Macaca fascicularis: one gene and its partners. The protein of the gene in region 2 binds, or shares a complex with, the protein of the main gene of each other region. Links are inferred from orthologs where the notes say so. Each region holds a gene or a part of one and is shown on either strand. Other genes may lie near its edges. The genes, in order: GNAT1, RHO, GRK1, SAG and GNAT3.

The links.
Region 1: the proteins of RHO (region 2) and GNAT1 are in contact, whole or in part, in a cryo-EM structure (PDB 6OYA), measured with the Bos taurus proteins. The link is inferred for Macaca fascicularis from reciprocal best matches to the Homo sapiens genes RHO and GNAT1. Residues at the interface, in NP_001014890.1 of Bos taurus: Leu72, Arg135, Val138, Val139, Lys141, Ser144, Asn145, Phe146, Arg147, Val230, Ala233, Gln236, Gln237, Ser240, Thr242, Thr243, Lys245, Ala246, Glu249, Val250, Met253, Met257, Asn310, Lys311, Gln312; in NP_851365.1 of Bos taurus: Ala27, Arg28, Asp189, Leu190, Val312, Glu314, Tyr316, Asp333, Ala334, Asp337, Ile340, Lys341, Asn343, Leu344, Lys345, Asp346, Cys347, Gly348, Leu349, Phe350.
Region 3: the proteins of RHO (region 2) and GRK1 are in contact, whole or in part, in a cryo-EM structure (PDB 7MT8), measured with the Bos taurus proteins. The link is inferred for Macaca fascicularis from reciprocal best matches to the Homo sapiens genes RHO and GRK1. Residues at the interface, in NP_001014890.1 of Bos taurus: Lys66, Lys67, Arg69, Thr70, Arg135, Val137, Val138, Val139, Lys141, Ser144, Asn145, Phe146, Arg147, Phe148, Glu150, His152, Leu226, Thr229, Val230, Ala233, Gln236, Gln237, Glu239, Thr243, Ala246, Val250, Met257, Ile305, Tyr306, Met309; in NP_776598.1 of Bos taurus: Leu6, Glu7, Thr8, Val9, Val10, Ser13, Ala14, Ile16, Ala17, Ala18, Arg19, Gly20, Asp23, Ala24, Glu184, Asp185, Trp186, Phe187, Leu188, Asp189, Phe190, Val192, Arg195, Glu200, Gln205, Met206, Lys207, Lys221, Arg222, Thr256.
Region 4: the proteins of RHO (region 2) and SAG are in contact, whole or in part, in a crystal structure (PDB 4PXF), measured with the Bos taurus proteins. The link is inferred for Macaca fascicularis from reciprocal best matches to the Homo sapiens genes RHO and SAG. Residues at the interface, in NP_001014890.1 of Bos taurus: Arg135, Val138, Val139, Lys141, Leu226, Glu249, Val250, Met253, Met309, Asn310, Lys311, Gln312; in XP_010802144.1 of Bos taurus: Asp71, Ile72, Met75, Gly76, Leu77.
Region 5: the proteins of RHO (region 2) and GNAT3 are in contact, whole or in part, in a crystal structure (PDB 4A4M), measured with the Bos taurus proteins. The link is inferred for Macaca fascicularis from reciprocal best matches to the Homo sapiens genes RHO and GNAT3. Residues at the interface, in NP_001014890.1 of Bos taurus: Leu72, Arg135, Val138, Val139, Lys141, Thr229, Val230, Ala233, Thr242, Thr243, Lys245, Ala246, Glu249, Val250, Asn310, Lys311, Gln312; in NP_001103452.1 of Bos taurus: Ile344, Asn347, Leu348, Lys349, Asp350, Cys351, Gly352, Leu353, Phe354.

The regions. Positions count from the first base shown.
Region 1 is NC_088376.1:113,220,099-113,224,209, reverse strand, and holds the start of GNAT1 (guanine nucleotide-binding protein G(t) subunit alpha-1), read right to left. Parts: upstream 2,801-4,111; 5' UTR 2,685-2,800; coding exon 2,579-2,684; intron 1,651-2,578; exon of another isoform or gene 1,420-1,650; intron 1,285-1,419; coding exon 1,242-1,284; intron 1,153-1,241; coding exon 1,011-1,152; intron 912-1,010; coding exon 754-911; intron 672-753; coding exon 543-671; intron 333-542; coding exon 203-332; intron 1-202. UniProt on the Homo sapiens protein: Functions as a signal transducer for the rod photoreceptor RHO. Required for normal RHO-mediated light perception by the retina.
Region 2 is NC_088376.1:153,861,776-153,864,981, forward strand, and holds the end of RHO (rhodopsin), read right to left. Parts: intron 2,676-3,206; coding exon 2,510-2,675; intron 2,394-2,509; coding exon 2,154-2,393; intron 1,329-2,153; coding exon 1,218-1,328; 3' UTR 508-1,217; downstream 1-507. UniProt on the Homo sapiens protein: Photoreceptor required for image-forming vision at low light intensity. Required for photoreceptor cell viability after birth.
Region 3 is NC_088391.1:104,065,688-104,069,201, reverse strand, and holds part of GRK1 (rhodopsin kinase GRK1), read right to left. Parts: intron 2,049-3,514; coding exon 1,891-2,048; intron 411-1,890; coding exon 327-410; intron 1-326. UniProt on the Homo sapiens protein: Retina-specific kinase involved in the signal turnoff via phosphorylation of rhodopsin (RHO), the G protein- coupled receptor that initiates the phototransduction cascade.
Region 4 is NC_088386.1:129,260,606-129,264,119, reverse strand, and holds part of SAG (S-arrestin), read right to left. Parts: intron 2,062-3,514; coding exon 2,017-2,061; intron 120-2,016; coding exon 1-119. UniProt on the Homo sapiens protein: Binds to photoactivated, phosphorylated RHO and terminates RHO signaling via G-proteins by competing with G-proteins for the same binding site on RHO. May play a role in preventing light-dependent degeneration of retinal photoreceptor cells.
Region 5 is NC_088377.1:140,932,620-140,936,133, reverse strand, and holds part of GNAT3 (guanine nucleotide-binding protein G(t) subunit alpha-3), read right to left. Parts: intron 2,123-3,514; coding exon 1,981-2,122; intron 1-1,980. UniProt on the Homo sapiens protein: Guanine nucleotide-binding protein (G protein) alpha subunit playing a prominent role in bitter and sweet taste transduction as well as in umami (monosodium glutamate, monopotassium glutamate, and inosine monophosphate) taste transduction.

The DNA of each region.
Region 1 (4,111 bases), about 41 Mb from region 2:
CGTGGGGCTTCCTGTTAAGCTGGCTCTCAGAGGGCGCCCGGCACTGCCCCAGATGGGCCTGCTGAACGCCTACCGGCCTCCTCAGGCTGCCCGGGACCAGCATCCCCTCCCGGGCCCTCCCCACGCCCAGCGCGCCGTCTCCGCCTCCAGGGGCCAGCAACTCCTCCTCGCCCCTGGAACACAGGCCCTGCCTGGCACCCACCACTTCGTCGTCCTCCACCAGCACCATGTCGTAGGCGCTCAGCGCCGCGATGAAGATGATGCAGGTCACGCCCTCGAAGCAGTGGATCCACTTCTTGCGCTCCGAGCGCTGCCCGCCCACATCGAACATCCTGCGGGGCCGCGGGGGCCTGAACCCGCGCCCTGGGCCTAACAGGGAGCATCCCCTCGCCCTGTGCTGGTCGGGGAGCTCTCTGCTGGGACTACTACCCTTTCTGCTGGCGGGATATCCAGGAAGGGGCAGGGTCTATCGCAGGGATGGGGTCCCCGGGGCAGGACGGGGCCTGGGGCAGTGACCTCCCGGGCTGGCATGTGGGTCGTACCGGAAGTTGAGGTCCTTGAAGGAGAACTGCGTCTCGATGATGCCAGTGGTCTTGACTCGCGAGCGCAGCACATCCTGCTCTGTGGGCACGTAGCCCGGGGTTACCAGGCGCTCCAGGTCGGAGAGGTAGCTGCGCGAGACCGGGCCGTGGGTGGGTGGGGAGGCGTGGAGGGCCCCCTGCGCCCCGCGCCCCGCGCTGCCCACGCGCTCACTAGCCCGCCGAGTCGTTGAGCTGGTACTCCGAGGCGCGCTCAAAACAGGCCTGGATACCGGAGTCCTTCCACAGCCGCTGGATGATGTCCGACATCTCCTTGGGCATCGTGCCCTCCTCTATGGTGTCTGCCATGTGCATCAGCTTCCGGGCGTCGTCCTGGGGGCAGGGTGAGAGTGGCTGGTGGCGGCCAGGGACTCGGGCCCAGCCACGAGCCTCGAGTCCCCAGAGGCCCGCTCAGCCCGCCTCCTGGCACACCTGGCGTGCAGAGTCTCCGTACTGGATGTTGAGTGTGGTCATGGCGCGCACGATGGCCAGGATGGACTGCAACGTGTTGCCGTAGATGATGGCGATGAACTCGAGGCACTCTTCCAGCGAATACCCGTCCTGGTGGATAATCCTGAGGCCGAGGCGAGCAGGGTCAGAGCCTCGTGGGGAAGTGGGGAAGGACCCAGCCCCAGGGACCTCGGGACAGGCAGGGGCACTCACTTCATCTGCTTGACGATGGTGCTCTTCCCGGACTCACCCGCACCTGAAAGGGAAGCGGCGCCTCAGAGCTGCGCTGACCGCCTGCCCCCTCCCCCAAGGAGGCCGGGAGGACCGTTGTCAGGGTGGACCGGCAGCGAAGAGGCCTGAGCGTCAGCCCCCACCCCGTAGCCACACCTACCCACCCCGTCCAAAGTAAGTCCTGACACCCTGAAGGCACAAGGTTTGCAAATGTCAGGAAAGTGAAGAAAGGAAGCCAACGAGGGGAATCAACGACCTCAACTGTTCTGGGACAGGGAGGCCCCAAGACACCGACACAGGCAGCCTTTATTATGCTGTGAGACTGCAATGAAGAAATCCCGAAGCGCCATCGCCACCTCGTGGGAGCCTCTGGCACCGCATGCACTGGGTTATTTGAGGCGGGTAAATCCCTTGCTTTTCACCTGAAGGGATGCGGGTGTCTCCAAGAGGCTCAGAGGGAATTAGCGCCTTTGGGTAGCAGGGAGGGCAGAGTTGACATCCTTTCTGAGCTTGCCCCTGCGAGGGCGTTGGGCACAGTTAATGAGATTTCTGGCTTAGCCTCTCTGCCTTGGGGGAAAGTGGGACTGGCTTGGTCCCTCACCCACCTCCAGCTGGTTGACCAGACTCTGGGGAGCTTGGGTGGAGCCTGCCCGGCCCTCTTGAAGCTGCTCTTTCCCCTTGAGAGGTCAGACAGTGACCTTGAGGCAGGCCTGGATCAGCCCCGTCTCTTCTCACTGCCCACGGTCTGGTGGACACGGCTTTATCTACTCCCACTGGGCCTCAGCACCTGCCAGACCCGTTGGCTGCTTTGTAGGTCTACCAGCCACAGCCCTCTGGCACCTGAGGGCCATTCTTTGTGGATCTGGGTGGTTCTAGAGACTCCCCACCCCCAGGAGGACTATGACCATCCCCTTCCCAAAGTAGCAGCCCAATAACGGGCTCCCAGTGAGGCCCCTGGCTTCTGAGCACTGCCCAGCAGGCCTACCAAACCAAAGGCTGCATGACGCTTGTGGGAGCCCAGCCACAGAAAAGTCAGCCTCACACACTCGTGCAAGAGTGTGGTTGGCACGCACTTCTGGAGGGTGGGTCACCTGAGGCAGAGCCGTCTGGAGAGGGGCTTCATGGGATGTCCAGCCTTGGGGGAATAGGACACCACCTGTCAGGCCTGGCCTTGCTTGGCCAGGGCTCCCACCCTGTGCCCTACTCTGTTGCAGGCTCATATTGCTTCCCAGGGAACCCTTGCTTCACAGAAGGGCTGCCTGCCTGCCTCCAGACCAATGATCTGGTGGCAGTGGCCCCACCAGGGCCCACACCCCTACCCAGAAGCAGCAACTTCACGGTTCGAGCATCCTTCTCAGCATCCTCTTTCAGCTTCTTTTCCAGCTCCCTGGAGTGCTTCTCCTCAGCACTGGCCCCAGCCCCCATGGTCCCAGCAGCAGGTGAAGGGACAGAGTGAGCAGGTGGTTCTTCTGGATGGAGGGGATCCTCAGAACCTGGCCTCCCAGGCACCCTTCTGGCCCCAGGAGGACCTGCAATCAACTGGCTCTCTACGGACCTGTGCAGTCCCTAGTGGGGCTACTTAGTGGGATTTGGGGGCTAGGGGTGTCCAAGAGCCAATCAGAGACAAGGACAGGTGAATCCAGCTCAGCCCCCCCAACCCTTCTAATCAGGCTGGCATAGCCCCAATCCCTCAACCGCTGACTCTGCACTCCTGCTGTCCTTCTGCCCCCCTCCACCCTTCAGGAGAGGCCCTGGTGCTGCCTGGGAGTGGGTAGAATCAGGGCTGAGAAAGGGGAAGGCAGAAACTTGAGCCCTGGGGGTGAGGACGATGGAGGTGGAGCTGGCAGTGAGAGGGCATAATTGGGAGAAACATGCCTGCTGCCTGCCCAGCACCGGGCTCAGCACCACTCCTTATCTTGTTGTAAGCTCACACTGGCCCTGGAGGATAGATGCCCATGTCATCAGCCTCATTTTACTGATGAGGAAGTAGAGGCTCAAAGCGTCACACAGGAGGAAGTGGTTAAGAAGGGCTGGGTGACACTGGACTGGGATTTTATGACCTGCAGGGAATCCAGAGAGAGGGAAACAGTGGGCATTGCATTCATCCCATAATCCCATATCACAGGCTGGAGCTACCCCAAAGAGGTCCTCGGCTTCCAGCGGACTCTGGTGGGCATGCATATCTTCTCTGTGTGCCTTGGTGTATGTGTCTTTTTTTTTTTTTTGGACGGAGTCTAGCTCTGTTGCTCAGGCTGGAGTGCAGTGGCACGATATTGGCTCACGGCAAGCTCTGCCTCCCGGGTTCACGCCATTCTCCTGGCTCAGCCTCCCAAGTAGCTGGGACAACAGGCGCCCACCACCACATCGGGCTAATTTTTTGTATTTTTAGTAAAGACAGGGTTTCACCGTGTTAGCCAGGATGGTCTCGATCTCCTGACCTCATGATCCACCCGCCGTGGCCTCCCAAAGTGCTGGGATTACAGGCGTGAGCCATCGTGCCCAGCATTTTTTTTTTTTTTTTTTAAGATGGAGTCTCGCTCTGTCACCCAGGCTGGAGTGCAGTGGCCGGATCTCAGCTCACTGCAAGCTCCGCCTCCCGGGTTTACGCCATTCTCCTGCCTCAGCCTCCCAAGTAGCTGGGACTGCAGGCGCCCGCCACCTTGCCCGGCTAGTTTTTTTTTTTTTTTTTTTTTTTTTGAGACGGAGTCTCGCTGTGTCTCCCAGGCTGGAGTGCACTGGCGTGATCTCGGCTCACTGCAAGCTCCGCCTCCCGGGTTCACGCCATTCTCCCGCCTCAGCCTCCCAAGTAGCTGAGACTACAGGCGCCCGCCACCACACCCGGCTAGTTTTTT
Region 2 (3,206 bases):
GGAAGGTGGGCCCAGTGGAATTTCCCACTCTTTGTTTCTAAGCTCTTTGAGATAAGGATGACATCAGGGACTCAGCTGTTCATTAAATGTGGGCCGGTGAGCATATCTTCCAGAGGCTCCATGCTGTAGATGCTGGGGCCCAGGTGCTAGGGCAAAAGAGCAGGTAACTTCCAGAGGCTGAGAGAAAGGCGTGTCTCTCCATAAGCCACACTGGGAAGGGGAGGCACGGGGTCTGGGGCCTCACAGTAGGGGTGATACCCCAGGCCCAATCTCACCCTCACTGAGAACTTGGCCTTCATCGCCCCACTCCCCCAATGTTGTTTTTTCAGGTGTGATGACTGCATTCTGCATTCCTGTGACTGTCCTTGTCTGCAGCCCAGCCCCAGCCCTGGTCTGGCCTTGACGCCTAGCTAATTTTTAAAAACCTGCCCCGAGGCTGGGTGAAACCCCATCATCCGAATGCCCAGTCTCAGAATGTTCACAATCAGGAGGTGATAATCATAATAATTAACTAGTTACATTAATTGATGTTATTCACAACATGAACTAGAATCTGTACAGCTCTTGCTATTTACAAGGTGCTGAAACACACACATAGACACACACACACACACACACACACACACACACCTCTTTTGGTCCTCTCAGTAGCTGCGTGTCGGCAGGACCAGGAATCTGGGATTTCCATTTTATAGGGGAAGAAAGTGAGGCCCAGGGAGGGAAAAACAACTGCTCCTTATCATTAGCCAAGTATGAGTTGCTGCTGCTAAGAGGGTCTGAGAGGATAGATATGTTCTCCCTTCGCTTTCATTCCTCCATTCCTTCCTGCATCCATCCAGCATTTATTAAGCACCTACTGTGTGCCCCATTCTGTGCTAGACACTTATCCCTAAGCTGGGACACTTTTCCAGAAAGCAAGAATCCTCATGTTCCTGAAAGATGAGCTGGGAGGAGGAGGGGCACAGATCCCACTGGCCTTGGGGAACCTGGGACTCCAGATCAGTAGGTGTTGGTGGATGTCCCTTCTCAGGCTGTCCCGGGTGAGTGAGGAGCCTCATTTTTCTCTCATTAATTATTTCTTTAAAAAAAAAAATGAAGGAGCCTATGTGACTTCGTTCATTCTGCACAGGCGCTGCTCCTGGTGGGATGGCTGTGGCTGGGGGAGGGTGTGGGGGACGGGAGACGCCTACAGTCGGCCACAGCGTCCTAGGCAGGTCTTAGGCTGGGGCCACCTGGCTAGTCTCCGTCTTGGACACGGTGGCAGAGGCCTCATCGTCACCCAGCGGGTTCTTGCCGCAGCAGATGGTGGTGAGCATGCAGTTCCGGAACTGGAAGGCAAGAGGCTTGAGTCAGGGCCAGGGCTGCCCACAGTGTGCTTGGAACTGGCACGTTAGTGAGGTTTGCCCCAACCTTTTCCCTGCTTCTGCCCCTCACAGTTCCAGCGCCCCGTCCACTCAAATCTGGCTTCCTGGAGGAAACTTGCTAAGCAGACGCTCCTCACCCCTAGAGATGCCAGGGACCCAGCACGAGAGGGCTGTGTCGCCCATGACATTTCATGGTGCCCTCTGTGTGCCAAGGGTGTTCTGTAAATTATCTCCTGTAATCTGAGAGTTGGGTGTTTTGCCCTTTCTATGGATGAGGAAACCAAAGCACAGAGAGGGGAATTGACTTGCATGGGGTCACATAGTTAGAAAATGGCAGAGCTGACTTCAGAGACTGTTTACCCCAACTTCTGAGTTCCTTGGAGAGGAACCTTTACCCCTTTACCCCTTTACCCCTCAGAATAAGACTTTTTAGCTCCTTATTCAGCTTTATGGAGACTGGCCCATCCATTCCCCTCTTGGGACCTTCTGACTTTGACATTGGGCTTCCAGAACTATCTGGACTAGAGCTTCTCCCACCTCAGTGAGCATCTGAGCCACCTGTGGAGAGCTTGTTGGAAATGTAGGTTCCTAGGCCCTCCCTGAGATTCAGCAGATCTGGGTGGGGCCAGGAATCTGCATTTCTCACACACTCCCCATTGAGACTGCTGACCCAAGACTGCTGCCAGTAGCCCTGATGGAGCCCCCTCCCCTGCCCTGGGACGCAGTTTGTCCTTGGCAGGCAGTGCCTGTGGTCTGGGACACTGGGGCCCTCCCACCCGCAGTAGGCACCTGCTTGTTCATCATGATATAGATGACAGGGTTGTAGATGGAGGCGCTCTTGGCAAAGAACGCTGGGATGGTCATGAAGATGGGACCGAAGTTGGAGCCCTGGTGGGTGAAGATGTAGAATGCCACGCTGGCATAGGGCACCCAGCAGATCAGGAAAGCGATGACCATGATGATGACCATGCGAGTGACCTCCTTCTCTGCCTTCTGTGTGGTGGCCGACTCCTGCTGCTGGGCAGCGGCCTGCAAGACAAGGGGCCCGGGTCCAGACCATGGCTCCTCCAGGGAGCAGGAGCCGCAGATACATGCTGGGGGCTGGACTGTCAGAGCCGTGAGGCTGCCCACTCCCCGGCCCATACCTCCTTGACGGTGAAGACGAGCTGCCCGTAGCAGAAGAAGATGACAATCATGGGGATGGTGAAGTGGACCACGAACATGTAGATAACAAAGGACTCGTTGTTGACCTCTGGCTTGAGCGTGTAGTAGTCAATTCCGCACGAGCACTGCAAGCCCTCGGGGATGTATCTGAGGACGGGCAGGTAGGGAGAACCCGCCTGTGAGGGACTTGGCCAAGGCGCCTGCCGAGCGCTGGCCCTTTCTGGGGCTTCACATTCCCTTCCTGGAAAAGGGGATCATAAGCGTCTGCATGGCTGGGTGACGGGATGGAATATGGATCAGATGGGGATGCAGACGCACCTTGTGGAATCAGTGTCGCTTCACTGGTGGCTGCGGTACCAGATGATACCACCCAGCCTCTCCCGGCATGCCCAGCCCCAGCATCCACTGCCCTCTGAGCCTAGGGTTATGCCAGGCAGAGGTTGGTGAGGAGGAGGGGAGGCTCTGTATTTGAGGCAGTTTGTATAAACTGAGGTTTTCCTAGCCCCAGGGCGAGAGTATTTTCCAGGTCAAAGATGGACACACAGGGTATCTAAGGGATCTTTGTGCAGCTTCTGGAAACAAGAGGTTTCCAGGGCACATTGTTAGGATGTGGCAGTGGTTCCTGATATTGGTGACAGTTGACTGGCCTCAGGAAACCCAGAGCGTCCAGAGGCTGTG
Region 3 (3,514 bases), on a different chromosome or scaffold from region 2:
GATGTGTACACAGACACACATATATACGCAAACTCACATGTACGTGATGTACACACACATATATAACAAACTCACATGTACGTGATGTGCACACAGGCACACATATATACACAAACTCACATATATGTGATGTGCACACACATATATACACAAACTCACATGTACATGATGTGCAGACACACATATACACACAAACTCACATGTACATGATGTGCACACACACATATATACACAAACTCACACGTACATGCATGTGCACACAGACACACATGTACACAGGGATGCACACATGCACAGAGCCTCCCCAGCTGTGCTCAGACCCTTACCTGGGGTCCCTGCATAGCCCTTGGTCTTGCTCTGCCCATCCAGCAGCTCCACAGCCAGCCCAAGGTCAGAGATCCGGACATTGCCTGAGAGGCAGACACAGTGGAGTCACCCCTGGCTGCACAGGTACCAGTGAGCCCAGAGCCACCTTCACACAAACGCACACACACAACACACACTACACCACACACACCACACAGATCACACCACAGACACCACACACACACACACCACGAACACCACACACCACACAGATCACAACACACACCATGGACACCACACACACACAGATCACACCACACACACACTACACACCACACACACTACACAGATCACACCACACACCCACACCATACCACACAGACACACCACTACTACACTATACATACCATACCACACGCAGACCACATAGACCATACCACACATACCACACCACACACACACATATCACAGACACACACCACACACAGACATACCAGGCAGCCATGAGGTCCCAGAGCCCAGAAGCCTCCCCTCCCTAGCCAGACTCACATGCACACACCCCACCACCACACCACAAACACATACACACACACCCCACACACACACCCCATGACCACACCACAAACATACACACACACCAAACAGCCATAAGCACCACCCAGTGCCCATGATCCTCCCCTCCCCAGCCAAACTCACAGACACACCACACACAACCCACATGGTCTCAGACACACCACACTCACTGCACACTCACATACCACACACACCACATTCCACAGACCACACACACAGCACACACCAACAACCAAAGACTACATACACACCTCACACACACGTGCCACACACAATACCACACATACCACACACAATACCAGACATACCACATACCACATCATACAGATACCACACACACACACGCCACACACAATACCACACATACCACGTACCACACCAGATATCTCGCACCACACATACACATACCAAGTGACCACGAGGCCCCAGCACCCCAGACTTACACCACACACACCAGACATACCACACAATCACACACCACACATACACACCATATGCCACACACATACCTCACACACAACACACACCCCACAAACCACATACACGTACACAGCACACACCATGCACATGACAGCGGCTCCCTGGCTGACGGTGAAGGGCGCAGGGTGTAGGGAAGAGGGCCGGTCGTGTTGCAGCTAGGCGTGGGTGTTGCCCACCGGGATCCTCCCATCCCAGCCCCCCACACTCTCTTGGGCCCTGGTGCGTGTCTCGCACTTGCCTGACCTGCCAGCGTCGGGAGCCTAAACCCTTGTGTTTATTTCTGAGAAGAATCCCTGTGTGATGCCTCATTCAGGCAGAAGGAAGGTGGGGACTGGGCCTAGCAGACTCACCATTCCCAGCTAGTTCTGCACCGCAGACCCCTGCACTCACTCCCGTGACTCCTGGTGCCCAATGACACCCCCGCTGTCCACGCAGCTGTCAACCCTCGTGAGGTTGTGCAGAGACCTCCAGGGAAGCTGCGCCCCGCCGTCCTCGGAGCCCCCATCCCTCACCGCCGCGGGCGCTGCCTACCGTCGTTGTCCAGCAGCACATTCTCAGGCTTGAGGTCACGGTAGACGATCCGCCGCTGGTGCAGGTGCTCCAGGCCGCAGATGATCTGCGCCGTGTAGAAGACGGCACGCGGCTCCGGGAAGCCGGGATTCTCCTCATTCACGTTGTAGATGTGGTACCTGGGGGCAGACACGCGGGAGCCATGTGCCCCGGGTTTAATGGGGAGTAAAATCATGGAAAGACAGAGCGGGGACCTCAGAACCAGCCAGCGTTCTGGTCGTTTTGAGGCCTGGCCCCCCAGCGTCCCTGCAGAGGAGACCCCGAGGCCATGGTGGCTGGCGGCGTTAGCAGCTCAGGGACCCCGAACCCCAACGGCTAACGGGGAGAAAGTGCCGTCCACGTGTGTCTCCTGTCCCCATGCTTCCTGGCGTGGGCTGCAGGTGCTGGAAAACAGCCCAGACCGTCTCAGGAAGAGGCCAGGCTGAGGCGGGATGGAGCTCCGCAGGCCCCGAGTTCATCAGACTCGTGAAGGATTTGCAGCAAGGTGTTTCTTCTCAGCCTCTTTCCTCCCCCATAAAACATCATTTCTTATGTTTTCCGTGGACAGGTTTTGCAGAGAAGCAAAACCTAACAAATAAAATAAACTATTTAAACTAGGTGGCACCAGGAGTATAGTCGCAGGAAACAGGAGAGGAGGCCCTGGAGCCAGGTGGATCATGAGGCGGCCGGAGCCACCAGGCCCTCCCTGGGCACCCCTGTGACTAAGCTTCCCAGCGCCCCCTCCCCTCTGCCTGGGCACCCCCGTGTGTGTGCTTCCCGGCGCCCCCTCCCCTCCGCCTGGGCACCTGGCATGGTGACTTAGTCTGGACTCACATTCCTCATCTGAAAAATGGGCCACCAGCCTCACCTGAAGGAGTTTCCTTGGAAATTAAAAGCAGGTGAGAATGGGGCATGGTGCTGCCAACCACAGCCATGGCCCCTGCCCATCCCCAACCTTAGGGGTATCAGACACTGTTAATCTTCCAACAATCTTTCTTTTTTTTTTTCTTTTTTTTTTTTTTTTGAGACGGAGTCTTGCTCTGTTGCCCAGGCTGGAATTCAGTGGCAGGATCTCGGCTCACTGTAAGCTCCACCTCCCGGGTTCACGCCATTCTCCTGCCTCAGCCTCCCGAGTAGCTGGGACTACAGGCGCCCGCCACCTCGCCCAGCTAGTTTTTTTGTATTTTTTTAGTAGAGACGGGGTTTCACCGCATTAGCTAGGATGGTCTCGATCTCCTGACCTTGTGATCCACCTGTCTTGGCCTCCCAAAGTGCTGGGATTACAGGCTTGAGCCACCGCGCCTGGCCAAACAATCTTTCAACTTAGATATTATCTCTTCCCATTTTATAGACCAGGAAACAGAACCAAGCAATGGCTAAGCGGCCCAGGTACCAAGCGAGCCTGTGATCTGATCTCCCACACGGGCCTGGGGCCTGCCTCGGTGATGGATCCGGGGCCAGGACTTTGTGGAGGCAGCACCACCTCCTCTCTGCCAGAAAGCAGGAAGGCCATGGCCCCAGCTGGCCTGATCTTGTCTCCAGCTCCAGCGTCAGCCCCAGGAATGGGCGGGCGCTGGTGAACTTCATCTTCATTTACTCTCCTGGT
Region 4 (3,514 bases), on a different chromosome or scaffold from region 2:
AGCCCCCACAGGAGGGTACACCTGGACCCGGGAGAAGTACAGGTCCCTGCGGAAGGCCAGGCCGATCACATCAATGTCCTCTTGGCCATAGCGGAAGGCGCAGGTCAGAGTGACATACACTGCAAAGGAGATGAAGGCAGGGTTGGACTTGGCACTCGGCCTGGCACCCACCACCACTGATGGAGTGGGTAGCGGGCCCGGGTTTTCAACTTTTAGCATCTGGAAAGGATGCGGGTTGGGACTGGAGAGAACCCTGCCACTCAGCTACTCCACACCGCTCTGGAGAATCAGCCCCTTCGTGAGGGTTCACCACTCTAACCGGAGATCCTGGCATCTCCCTCCCAATTGTGTCATGTTGTCAGAATGGTAGGAATCTGCAGACAGAGGACCCAGTCCCCTCCATCCTGCCCGCCCCCTTCATTCCCTAGCTCCGTGGCCTCAGAGGCTTTGAGACAGTGCTGGCTGCTCACGTTCTGGCGGGCAGGATGTCTGGACGAATGAAGGAAGAAGGTAAGATGCAGAGGGAAACAGTGCTGGGCAGCCAAGCAGATGTGGGCCAGAGTTAATCGTGGGCTAAACGAGGAACCAGAAGGCTCACAGGCCACATGGGGAGGCGAAGTCCAACTTGAGAAGGCTCGAGTTCCAGCCTCCTTTTCACAGTGCTCTGAAACATACTGAGCGTGCTCCAAACCCCCACTTCTGAAAATTCCACTTGTTGAACAGACTTAAAGTGCGCGCCCAGTGGACTAAAAGAATTGTATGGAAGTTCACTACGCCTTCTAAAAAAGACACAAAGCATGTATCTCTCAAATATAAAGCGCGTCAGAGGTGGCCCCTCCAAGTGCGTGGCGGCTGTTGGTTGAGAATTTTGCCTGTCAGCCTCAAAGGTAACTGCCCCTCGCTGCTGACTCAGAAGAAATGGTGGCCACTCACTCGCCCCTCATTCAAAGTCAGGACTAAGAAGGTGCCCAGAGACTACCCAGTTTGACAGCTGTCCTGTGCTGTGGCTTTCCCTGAGAACAGGCGCCCTTCTCTGGTCAAGGACATGGGCTTTCAGATGTCTCCTGGTCCAGAGAGGAGCAGGGCACCCAGATGTCTCCTGGTCCAGAGAGGAGCAGGGCACCCATATGTCTCCTGGTCCAGAGAGGAGCAGGGCATCCAGGAGGAAGGTGGAGAGGACAGAGGGGGCCGTTTGGGGCCCCATTTCAGCCATGCCCCTCTTGATGCTGATGGCCCCACAGCTGACATATTCCAGTGGCACATCCAGGGTTCTCAACAATTCCTTGATGTTGCCAGTAGCAACACTCAAAAAGGCATATTTAGAATGGAACTGAGTCAGTGACATTATCACAAGGATAGCTGGAATCTGTTCTAATTTGGTTTACGCAACTGTTATTAGTAACAAATTACTTACCACACACATCAAAACTGCCAGAAATCTTCAAGGGCACCGTGACACTGGTTCAGAACCATCAAAGTAAGCGCCATCATAAATTCCGGGTCTTACTCCCCCTGTGTCCCGGCAGGCATCATTTGCCCCTTTTTAGTGTTGGTTGAGAATTTTGCCCGTCAGCCCCAACAGTAACTGCCCCTCGCCACTGACTCGGAAGAAACACTGTCCACTCACTCTGCCCTCATTCATTCAAGGTCTGGTGTCCTCCTGAGTCCGAGGCAGCCCAGGCGCCCTCCTGAGTTTGCCCCTAGCACAGAAGTACACGATACAGGGGTTAGCACACACCGATGGGGGCCACAGACCTGGGCTCCATCTACCATCTACTTATCTGCCACCCTGGACAATGACTTTGCTGAGCGAGTGAGCTCTGGTGTCAACGGGACCTATGTCACGTGAATTAAGTACGGGAGTGTGGGTCAACGGGCCTGGCACTGGTTCCATGTGCAAGAGCACTGCCTCTGCCTTCCTGTTTCTCCTTCCACGTAAATGCCCCTTCCCAGAGCCGCCCAGAGAGCAGCCCACTCCACCCAGAAACCAGCCTGAGACAAGGGGCTTCATCTCACCTTTCTTTCCCTTCACGAGGTCAGGATCAACCAACACGACACCATCTAAGGCAAAAGAGGGAGAGAGCAGTGAGGGTGGAGAAGATCAAAGAAACCAGACACCTACTTTAAAAACTATGTATGTTTTTAATTGCACATGTAATCCATGTTCATTATAAGAAAGAAAGAAAAGTTAAGGGCAAAAAGTCATCCAAATTCCTACCACCTAAAAATACCTATTGTGAAGCTCTCGGTGCAGACTTTTATTTTATTTTTCCAGGCCAGGTGTGGTGGCTCATGCCTGTAATCCCAGCACTTTGGGAGGCCGAGGCAGGGGGACTGCTCGAGCCTAGGAGTTTGAGGGCAGCCTGAGCAACACAGTGAGATCGTTGTCTCTACAAAAAGCTTTTTAAAAAATTAGCAGCAGCCTGGGTAACAAAATGAGAGCCTGTCTTTACATAAAATTTAAAAAGTTAGCTGGGTGTGGTGGTGCATGCCTGTAGTCCCAACTACTCAGGAGGCTGAGGCAGGAGGATCCCTCGAGTCTGGGATGTCAAGTCTGCAGTGAGCCATGATCATGCCACTGGACTCCAGCCTGGGTAATAGAACCAGATCTTTTCTCAAAACATATAAAAAAGAAAAAAGAAAAAAAGTTAGCAGGGCATGGGCCAGGCATGGTGGTGCCTGCTTGTGGTCCCAGCTACGTGAGAGGCGGAGGTAGGGGGATTTCTTGAACCTGGGAGGTTGAGGCTGCAGTGAGCTGTGACCATGCTACTGCACTCCAGCCTGGGTGACAGTGAGACACTGCCCCGCACCCCCGCCCAAAAAAATTTTTCCAGACATATATAACTTAATTATATGAATGCGCCGGGCGCGGTGGCTCAAGCCTGTAATCCCAGCACTTTGGGAGGCCGAGACGGGCGGATCACGAGGTCAGGAGATCGAGACCATCCTGGCGAACACGGTGAAACCCCGTCTCTACTAAAAATACAAAAAAAAAAAACTAGCTGGGCGAGGTGGCGGGCGCCTGTAGTCCCAGCTACTTGGGAGGCTGAGGCAGGAGAATGGCGTAAACCCGGGAGGCGGAGCTTGCAGTGAGCTGAGATCCGGCCACTGCACTCCAGCCTGGGCGACAGAGCGAGACTCTGTCTCAAAAAAAAAAAAAAAAAAAAAAAAAAAAATACAAAAAACTAGCCGGGCGAGGTGGCGGGCGCCTGTAGTCCCAGCTACTCGGGAGGCTGAGGCAGGAGAATGGCGGGAACCTGGGAGGCGGAGCTTGCAGTGAGCTGAGATCTGGCCACTGCACTCCAGCCTGGGCGACAGAGCGAGACTCCATCTCAAAAAAAAAAAAAATTATATGAATGCTTTTACTAAGAAAAAAAAGATCCTATTGTACTTACTGTTCAGCTAACTGCTTTCCTCACTCAATTATACATTGAAAACATCTATTCAAACATACATACATCTATACACACACGTATATATATATACACACACATATAGACAAAACATGTGCTAA
Region 5 (3,514 bases), on a different chromosome or scaffold from region 2:
CTCTCAAAGTGTTGAGATTATAGGCGTGAGCCACCACACCAGGTCAAAGCTCAGGTCTTTAGTGATCAGAGCATCACTGTTTCACAAACTCTGGGTCATATGAAGGATACAGTATAATTAAATAAGTAGCAATAGGCAAGGTGATTTCCAACTTCTCTGACACAAATGCATGGAATACCATATTGCATCTACAAATTTAAACATCATTAAATCATTCTCAAAGGAATTAAGAAGGTACATCTATTTTAGTGACTATTATTGCCTAAGATAAAAAGATAAAATATTTCTAATCATTAAATCCCTTAAAAGCAAAAAGCACTATAATGGAATCCAGGAGAAGTGGGTTTTGCCATGAACTCTAGCTACTTAATGTAAACCAACTAATCTTCTTTGATCCTTGTTTTTTAAATTAAGGTGGTTATACTATGTTGTCTCTTAAGAGTCAATTTAAAATCCTAGTATCTTAGAAAAAGCCAAGGTTCAGATCCATAACTGAACTACACTTAAATAAGAACATGATCACTAAGTCATAGAGAGATAAAGAATAAAAGGATCTTGGAGTTCACCTCCTCCAAGTTCCCCTTATTTATTTATTTATTTATTTTATTATACTTCAAGTTCTAGGGTACATGTGCATAACGTGCAGGTTTGTTACATATGTATACTTGTGCCATGTTGGTGTGCTGCACCCATCAACTCGTCAGCACCCATCATAGGTGGGAACTGAACAATGAGATCACTTGGACTCGGGAAGGGGAACATCAAGTTCCCCTTTTACACATGAGTGGGAAACTGTAGCCAGAGAGATAGATTGGAGCAAACTGTGGAGAAAACTAGAAATGGGAATCAGTAAAATATCTGACTCCTCGCTTTATAAACTATCTGCCTGAAGACCATACTTAGCATTTCTTTGTTCTTTGAAGAAAAGTGACAAGAAAAAGGGGGATTTCCCCTTTCTTTACATTAAGAGCATGGAAAAGCCGCCTTTGTTTGTTTGTTTTAATTGTAATGATTTCTAGTGGTCATTTACAAGATCCAGTGGCCATTTACAAGGTCCACTAAGCTGGTTGAGGGAGTTCAAATGACTCCTCTTTCTTTATCCTTACTATGCTTTTGTTCTCTATTTTTATTGTTTCTATAGCAAGGTTTCCAAGAATTACATTGGTAGGCATTCAACTGGCATCCTCTGGAGGTAACCAGATGCCCAGCTGCTCCTGGAGGGGACATATGGAAATAGGTGAGTTCTTCTTGTGGATTCTACTCAGTTTCTCTTTTTTGGGTGGGGTCAACTATGGTTCTTTGGATAATACTGTAAGTTTCATTTGCCAAATATTTTTATATATTTGCCTATAAACTTTTAAAGTAAGTGGATTTCAAATATATTTTAATATAAAATAACTATATAGCAAAATATAAAGTAGGGAGAAAATAATTTTGTTGTTACCTTACAAACAGAACTATGACTACTTGAATATACTTAATATACAACCATTTGCTTGCTCCTACAATTTGAATTCTTTTTTAAAAAACTTAGCATTATAATCATTTCCCTGTTGCCACGCAGACTTTGTAATCATCATCAAACATTAATCATAATTATTGCGTTATTATTAAACATTGTTAGTCTCTTTGAAATGACATAACTAAAAAATTAATGTAGAGATATTGCAAATTGTGTTTATGCCATAAACTTTTGCATTTAGCAATCGTAAACAATATTTTTGTTTCTTATGGTGTATTATTTGATATTAAGTTTAATCCTCAGGAAAACAACTAATGTTGAATAACAGTATACAGTAAAAAAGTTTCACTTCAAGGAAAATAAGAAATCTTACACAAAACATAATTAATGTTTCAAAATTCATGTTTCATATTTTTAAATTTTGGGTATAGATTAATACTATGAACTTATTAAGTCCTCTTATTTTGTGGCTCAAACTCTATTGCAGGACATACAGCTGTCATTATTTGCATACTTACTGCACTTCTGGGATTTACATAATCAATTCCAAGGGTAGTCATGGCTTTCACAATAGCTAGGATGGATTGCAATGTATTACTGTAAATTACTGCTTTGAACTCCATGCATTCTTGCTCACTGTAACCATTCTTATGGATGATCCTATAATTTAAACATGAAAAGTTTCTGTGAGTTGAATAATTGATTGTAACACTAAAGCACATCAAAATAAGTTACTTGAATACAATTATAGTATATTTTCATTAAAAAGGAATTTTGACCATATGTATATGCTAAATCTAAACAATTTTATGCCTTTGGACTTTCATTATCATTGTCATTCATACAATATTTTCTTTCTGGGCTACCATGATAAATACAAAAGGACTTAGGATTTGTTATTTTAACATACTTTTCTGAAACGAGTAAATCATAAGCATTATACTTAGAAAGCCTGTTTTTTGTTTTTGTTTTTGTTTTTAAGAAAAAAAAATTATAGATTCTCAGGACAAAGATATATTCACAGTTTTGAAACTTGGCCTTGTGTCCACAACCTGATGTCTAGAGGAAGTTAAGTCATTTAGAACATTCATGACTTTTCCTATCATGCTGGAAAATAGGAGTGCCTTCCTTCTATTTACAGCATCAACAAAGGCATCTTTTTTAGTACAGGTAATTGCCCTGTGTTAAATCTCTTGTCAGTTCTCCATCTGTGTACGTGCCACTGAGTTATAAAAGTTGAAATGCCTGACATTTTATTTGGCTGAACTCTTCTCTACCTTCCACTCATTCAGCCAAACTCAAGATTTTACTAGAAGTTTTGGAATAATAGCTTAAAATAGATTTACCTATCAAAAGCTAAAGTCATTACATGTGCCAGTTACGTATTTTTGCATCTTTATTGTAGAATTGTTTTTGTTCCTTTCTATAATGTTTTAATTGTCTTGAAGTGCTTTGTATTCGTTAGGCGTCTTTTTGGATGTCATATTACTAAATGTTTATATTGTGTCTACACGTATAAAGGCTTTAGCATAGAGGGGAAAAGAGCACAAATGCCTCTTTAATGTCTTTGAAGATATTAGAACCTTCATATACAAGAAATCTCAACTGAAAGAAGTAAAAGCAGGGCCTATATTTGTTATTTGTTGTTTTTTTTATTTGATTACAAATCATTGCTGAACTTCTATGTTAAACATGGTCATGTCTATCTTGCTGCATTGAATCATTAAATAACTTAAGTAAATAAAGTAGACAAAGACTGTAGAAAAAATGCAGTAAAATGTCTTTATGGATAGATCAAGAATAAGTTTACTAAAGAAATCCCAGTTTTCTGTCAAATTGAACTTGGAAAATTATTTTAATTATTAAAATGGCAACTGTGAATAAACGTGGGGTACTTAGGTGTTCTTCATGAAACAAGTTCTGACTGCTATCAGAAGTGAAGAAACATTTATCACAAAGAAAAATTATAAAAACAGATGTTAAAATGTCCAGTTGAAGTGGGACTTTAAACAACATCATTTTTCCAGGAGCTGCATATATCAATTTCTGTGA